2 linked regions of the Cricetulus griseus genome follow. The protein of the gene in region 1 interacts with the protein of each later gene in a pairwise test. Links are inferred from orthologs where the notes say so. Each region holds a gene or a part of one and is shown on either strand. Other genes may lie near its edges. The genes, in order: Exoc1 and Sptan1.

Region 1 (3,821 bases):
AGATAGCAGGCCTATAGTCACAGAACAAGTTCAGATCATCTCAGGGCACACCATACTACGGATACATGAAAGACATTTTCTGACCCCAAGTCCAAGGACTATGGAAAACATACTTTGATGGCATCTTTGGCATCTACCACAGCCAGGTCTCGAAGGGCCCAAGCAATCTGCCTTTTGTAGAAATCTCCCTTATCAGATTTCTTGACTTTGACCACCTTCACCTGCACGGGGCGTTCAGTTGTCACTGTTGAACAAGATACACATGACTGTTAGCAATTTTAGTCATCTACTCATCTTCATTCACTCACTGTAAATGTCACTTTCAGGTGCCTGGTAGGGTGACACTAAAATAAGTGCAATATTTTGTAATAAGTCAACTGAGGAATTCACAGAATCCTAAAGGAAGCATCTAAATCAGACTAGAAGGTCAAAGGCAGACAGATGCCTTGAGAGGTATAGCTTAGGACCTGTTTTAAAGGGCGTAGGAGGGAAATTTAATGATTGACATGTGTAAGTGCAGAGTCCTGAAAGAGCCTAATGTCATCACAAAGAGCAAGAGGAAATGATCCAATGCAGGCCTCACAGTGTAATAGAAGGTGGATGGAAATGAAATTACCACAAAAGACGGTGCTGAGTTCTTCAAGGGCTCCATCTAAGGCAGTACGAGCTGCTATTACAGAAACAGAATGCTCTAGTTTCTAGTTTCAAAACATGACTCTGGCAACAAATGGAGTTTAGATTTGGAATGGATGCTGATACATTTGAAAAGCAAATGGTTCTCCAAACAATAACAATTATGAACAAAATGCTCATGAAGGTACTGTTGAATGGGAGGGGTCACAAAGAATTATAATTCAATTAATTAAAAGTTTAAAGATAAGCAAAACAAAATAATATATAGTTGGAAATCATACATGGGGAACATGGTAAGATTCAGGAGACCAGACACCTGTTGCTGTAAAGTGGAATGGAGTAAGGAAGACGATGGCAATTCAAAGATACTGGAGCTCTCATCTTACACTATATAAAATTTTTTTTACACACACTAAATATTCAATAGAAACAATTAAAAATTAATTTGTCAGTTCAATAATTTTCTCCAGTTATAGAAACAATGAAAATACTTTTAAAAGAAAGAAATGACCCTAAGGAATGAAGGATTATCAAGTACATATTTTTGCTTAAAAAATGCCCACCTGTAGCACACAGAAAACAGTTCTTTTTCTTTTTGCCTGCTTTGCAGACATTCACAATGCTCAGCAGGCGCTCATCATTCGGAGTGAAGATATCTCTCTGTAACGCGTGCTTGATCGCTGTCATCTTTTCTCAGCTGAAAAAGAATTTAGGATAGAGGTATTGTGCTCATTATCAAAATCTCTGCCTTCCCTCATAAACTGTTCCATTTACAACTCAAATGATTAAGTCTTCATTAGTAAACACATAAATATATTAATATATGTACATCATAAAAGCATGAGGCTACAAGTTTGGAAATGAATCAGAAAAAAACTAGTATTGTCACAGTAAAAAAATCTTTCCAAGTGCTCAACAACACTTAAAGTGGAAACACAGACACAAATAATCATATATATACTCATATCCATACATACACATACATACATATATGCACACACAAACACATACAACACATACAAATAGTCAATAAATATACAAAAAAAGTGTTCAGTATTGGGCTGGGGCAATAGCTCTGTTGGTAAAGCGCTTCCTCACAAGAATGACACAAGCCCCATCTTGTTTGACCTCTAAAGCTCACACAACAAGCAGTGCATGGTGAGCCCTGCTTTTAACCTAGCACTGAGAAGACAGAGTCAAGCAGACCCCTGGGGTTCACTGACCATTGCCTCACTTATTTGTGGAGTGCCAGTCTGGTGAGAGACCATGTCTAAAAAAGGGGGAGGGGATGGATGATGCCTTAAGGAAAACTGTATGGAGCTGCTCTTTGGCTTTTGGCAGACTCATAAAAGAAACCAAAACCATTCCATATCATAGACCACTTGGGAAACACAAATGAAATCCACAGTGAGATACCTACTACTTTCACATGTTCGGAAGCTAAAAAGGATCAAAAGGATCGCAACAGAAGTACTGATGAAGGAGCCTCTTCCATACAGCTGGTGGGATTGCTTCAGAAAACAGTCTGGTGGGGTCTTCAAAGTCATGCATGCAACTACCATTGTTATCTAGCACACAGCTCCCAAAAGAAATTATGAAAAGATATTCACAGAAAAACTCACATGTGAGTGTTCACAGAAACATGACAACCAACCTCAGTATATGTGGGGAGGCACCATCTCCAGGGCCCCCTATAGATACCAAACCCACAGATGTCTAAGGTCCTTAACATAGAATGCTAGAATATAATCTACAGATTTGTATCATCTCTAGACTATTTACAATTCCAAATGCAATGCAAATGCTATATAAGGCTTGTTATTTGTATTGTTTAAAGATAAAAAACAACAACAACAAAAAACAACTCCATACTTGCTCAACACAAAAACCATTTTCCCCCAAATATCTTCATTTGGTGGCTGGTTCAATGAATGGATTTGGAACCTGCAGACACAGAAGGTGAACTACATTTTGCAGTAGCCAAAAAGTAGGAGCAAGTCAAATGTTCATCAATGGACAGATAATGAAATGGGGAAAAAAAAATTCATGAAGACAGAAAGATGAGCAGTTGCTAGGAGATGGCAATGAAAAGTAGAAACAGCTGCTAATGGGGAGAGAAAAACGTTCTTCACTTAGTTTGATGGTGTAAAAACTTGTGAATATACTAAATAATGATAGGACACCAAGTGGGGAAATCTTATAAGTGAATTACACATAAGATCACTGTAAAAGTAGCTTTCCATTTCTTTTCTTCTCATCTAATTCAGTCTTTCTTCAAACATTAAATTAATTTTAAAAAATCTTCCTGACTCCTGTCTGACAAATGGGGAACCTGCATAAGACTGAACTAGACTCCCTTAATACAGGTGACAATGGTGTGACTGGAACAATATATGAGGCCACTGGTAGTGGGTCCAAGATCTATCTCTAATGCACAAACTGAATTAGTGGAGCCTATTCTATATGAAGAGACACCTTGCTAAGGCTAGACACAGGGGTCTGGGGGTGGGGAGGTGCCCTGGTCCTGCCTCAATGAGATGATGGGACAGACTTAGTAGACTTCCTAGGGGAGGCCTTACCCTCTCTGAGGACAGGAGAACTGGGGGAGAGGGATGGGGGAGATCGAGAGGGGAGGAGGGAGAGGGAACTGGGATTGGAATGTAAAAAATAAATTAATAAAAAATGTTAAAAATGTTTAAAACCTAAATATTGAATAAAATACAGAATAGTTTTATATTATTTTTTAAAAAGCTATGGGAAGTGCCCCACAATACAGTGAATGAATGAAGGAAAAGGCAAATGGAGAATATAAGCATATTAGAACATTTTTACACTTACTCTTAATGTTCAGAATTTTTTCTCCTGAAATTTTGATATTGTATATTCCTGCCTAGATTTAAATAATAAAGTAGTTTTACTTAAAAAAACTTCAATTGTTAATGAGAATAATTTAAATGCTTTTCCTTTTATGTATCTACTATTTTCCAATGCAAATGTGCCTTTGAGATTAATTTCTTACAATACCATTTCTTTCGATGGGAAAAGGAAGAAAACATGAGCTTTAATTAAATTTTTATAGGACAATGACTTCTTTGTAGAAATCCTACAAACTGTGCCTCTTCTACACTTTACTCTGTGAAGCTTCTATCCATATTCCAAGTGCAAAACTTTTTCTCATCTAACCTACA
Region 2 (3,821 bases), on another chromosome or scaffold:
GATGTATTCTTTCTATTAAGGTGTTTTCTTTATGGGAATAACACATGCTGCCTTACTCTGATTTAGTGTCAGTCAAAGTTACATCTTAATTGGGAGGTTTCCATCAATCAAGTGATTCTGCTCCATAAAGCTGTGTTACATGTACAAGATCGAATGATGTCATCATGAGGTCATACATGTTCCCGGGAGTACTCTGCAGAGAGCTCCCCAACCTCTCAGAAGGGGATTGTTTATTCTGTGGACCACATGACAATAAGGGTCTTACTGTGATTTTTTCTTCTTGGGCACTGAGGGATTTCTCAAAGTCCTCATGCTTCTTCAGAAGAGCTTCCACACTGTCTAAGGAGTCACCCAAATCTTCGTTTAGCAGGAATGCCTGGAGAAAGGAAAGCAAGTGTGTGTGCAGCATCAGGGGATGCTCATTCATCTATAGCCCACAAGCAAAAGCAGATTTTGACAAAACACAGACAAGAAATTTTCAATGGAAATCCAACTTCTCAGATCACTACTACAAAGTCTATTTTTATTGTTTTTTTTTTTTTTTTGTTTTGTTTTGTTTGTTTTTCGAGACAGAGTTTCTCAGTGGCTTTGGAGGCTGTCCTGGAACTAGCTCTTGTAGACCAGGCTGGTCTCGAACTCACAAAGATCTACTTGCCTCTGCCTCCCAAGTGTTGGGATTAAAGGCGTGCGCCACCAACACCCGTCCAAGTCTACAGTTTTTATATTCTCTCAAAAATCAACCAGGGGCTGGACGTTGGTGGCACACGCCTTTAATCCCAGCACTCGGAAGGCAGAGGCAGGCGGATCTCTGTCAGTTCGAGGCCAGCCTGGTCTACAGAGGGACAGGTTCCAAAGCTACACAGGGAAACCCTGTCTGGAAAAAGCCAAAATAAATAAATAAATAAATAAATAAAACAAAATAAAAAATAAAAAAATTCAACGGGGGTGGGGGGGGGGTGAAGATATGGAGAGATGCCTCAGCAGTGCCAGGATAGGCGCCAAATCTACACAAAAACCCTGTCTTGAAAAAGCCAAAACAAAACAAAAAATCCACCAGGAGCACTGGAAAATGATTCTTGCCATATTTACCAACCACTTTTCTAATTATTTCTTTTAAGGGAGGGAGGATATTGAGACAGGTCTCACTATGCAGTTCACATGCTCTTTAATTTCCTGGGTAGCTCCTTGAACTTGTGACCCTCCTGCCATAGCTTTGAGTATGATGCAAATAGGCACCACCCCAGCTCTTACATAGCTCTCGTAGCTTCTTTTACATTTAGAAACCTTTTTTGTACTGCACAATTTTTTCTTTTAAGTGCCTTCCTATCTCAGCAATACCAGAGGCAGACAGGGCCAAAGTAAACCTGCTTAGTTCCCTTCTTCATTCTAATCACAATGGCTCAGATGTCCTGAAACAAAACCAGCACTCACTGGAGAGGTAGGGCATGACCCTGTATTCCCTGGTAGGGTTCCTGATACATTACCTCCTGCTTGCTCATCCAGTTGTCCACCTGTTCAGTATCACGGTAGAAGAGCTGCAAGTCCATGCACTGTTCATACTGCTGCCTCCGAAGCTCCCACAGTTCCAGTAGGGTGGTTCTCTCCTCTGAGAGGATGCTCAGCTTGGGGAACAGGAAGCAAAATTACCTTCCACCTTCTGGGAGACATGGGGTTGCTCATGCTAGGCTTTAGGCATTTCTTCATGTAATAGCACTTAATGTATGTAAGCTTATTGTGAGAAATATACAAATACCTCAGAACTGGCATGTGTGTGCTATCCACAAGAATCTCATCCTGACTAACCTAGAATTTACTGTCATATTATCATAAACATTCTAGGAGATGGTAGATGAAAGACTCTGAAAGTGATACCACGGACATAGAGAGCTGTCAACTGAGTGGGCATCCCAAAACACTTTACAATTTGTTTCCCACTCACTCTAACTACTAAAACAGGACTGGCTCTCACATGCTTGAAATTTAAAAGAAAAAAAAAATTCTTGGAACAAAATATTACAAATACATATTTTCTCCCTACAAGATAGGCTCTATACAGCTTGGGGAACAAGTTCTAGATGGTCTGGAACTTGCTATATAGACCACATTGACCTCAAACTGACAAAGAACTGCCTGCCTGCCCCTTCCTCCCAAGTGTTGGAATTTAAAAGTATATGCCACCACAACCAGTCACATACATCTTTATTAAATCTCTATAGGAAAAAGTTGCCTCTTTGTGGCAAAATCTTGGGCCAATAAGTGCTTTAAATTGATGGTGGGCCCCTAATTGGCTACGGGGATAGAGAAGCATTCTATGGTCCAGGCTTTCTCTTTAAAAGCCCCTTTTCATTATCTTACCTTCTCCCTCACTTCATCTGAGGCATAGTGACCAGCTGTGAGCAGAGCCTGCCCAGACTCATCTGCAGACTTAAAGCTATCTTCATGAGCATCAATCTCACCCTGTAAAGTAAGAGATAGAATATTTTCAGCATTTTTGAATGGTAACGGGAGGGGGGGGGGCCTGCACGTGTGCGCGCAGCACACATGCCTTTAATTCCAGCATGCCTTTAATTCCAGCACTTGAGAGACAGAGGCAGGTGGATCTCTGAGTTTGAGGCCAGCCTGATCTACAGTAAAGGCTCCAAAGCTAAAGAGAAACCCTGTCTCAAAGAAACAAAACAAAACAAAAACGAAAACAAAAAAAAAAGAAAGAAAGAAAGAAAAAGAAAAGAAACAGAGTAGCAGGTTCAAAGTATTTCCTAGCTGTCAGTGTAAGCCAACCAAGAAGAGCTTGCCACCGGCTCTATAGGCCACATGTCATTAACCAAGCCACCACATGTTCACAATGCCCATTATTGTTTTTTATGCCACATGGACTTGTTTACTACAATTTTATAGCACCTGGTAAAGTGAATCACGGCCCCCCACATATACCATGTTCCTCAAAATTGCCTTAGCTTTTTGAGACTAAGCTTATTCGGTGCAAATGCTCACAGATTTGTTGGGCTTTTGACAGGCAATGAATTGAATGTATACATTCATAAAGACCATCCATTCGATGTCATTTCATGTGGTCAATCTTTTTTGCAATGTCTTTCAATGAACATGTTTTTGTTTTTGTTTTTCTTGAGGCAGGGTCTCACTGATAGCCCTGACTGGCATAGAACTCATTATGCAGACCAGGCTGGCATGGAACTTAAAAAGTCCATCTGCCTCTGTCTCCCCAGTGCTGGGATTAAAATTATGCACCGCACCTAACAAGTTCTTTAAAACATTCTTGAAACAGGGTGGTAGTGGTACAAGCCTTTGATCCCAGCACTTGGGACGCAGAGGCAAGAGGTTCTCTGTGAGTTGTGCAAGATCATGGAAATACTACCTTGTGCTCCTGATGCCTATCCAGCAGAGCTTCAGCACCAGCCACATCATTCGCCAGTTCATCTGCATTGATGAGTGCTTTCATTTCAGTCACCCAGCTCGTGAGGTCACGAAAGTCAGCCAGAAAGCGCTGAAGCCTTGGGAAAAATAAAAAGTATGTCACTTTCAGTAGTGGTCCCAGGACAGAAGATGGCTTTCCTACAGTTCTGAATTCTGTTCTCAAATGTCAACCATACAAACCCTAGTTCCGGGAAAGGAAAACTTCGCTGAACTTAAAGACAGCAAAAGGCAGAAAAACAGGTTATATTGTTCATGCTTAGGCTCCCACCTTGTGTCACGTTTTTTGCTGTTTGAGATGAGTCCCCTTATATTGTCCTGGCTAGTCACTGCCACTAACTCACCATCATCTTTAACTTCCCTGTTATTCCCAGGGCCAACTCAAGGTGAGA

Evidence for each region.
Region 2: the proteins of Exoc1 (region 1) and Sptan1 interact in a two-hybrid assay, tested with the Homo sapiens proteins (2 studies listed by BioGRID and IntAct). The link is inferred for Cricetulus griseus from reciprocal best matches to the Homo sapiens genes EXOC1 and SPTAN1.

Annotation. Positions count from the first base shown.
Region 1 is NW_023276807.1:142,975,058-142,978,878, reverse strand, and holds part of Exoc1 (exocyst complex component 1), read right to left. Parts: intron 2,262-3,821; exon of another isoform or gene 2,054-2,261; intron 1,331-2,053; 5' UTR 1,321-1,330; coding exon 1,197-1,320; intron 245-1,196; coding exon 114-244; intron 1-113.
Region 2 is NC_048599.1:141,660,708-141,664,528, reverse strand, and holds part of Sptan1 (spectrin alpha chain, non-erythrocytic 1), read right to left. Parts: intron 3,510-3,821; coding exon 3,374-3,509; intron 2,458-3,373; coding exon 2,356-2,457; intron 1,623-2,355; coding exon 1,485-1,622; intron 377-1,484; coding exon 266-376; intron 1-265. UniProt on the Homo sapiens protein: Fodrin, which seems to be involved in secretion, interacts with calmodulin in a calcium-dependent manner and is thus candidate for the calcium-dependent movement of the cytoskeleton at the membrane.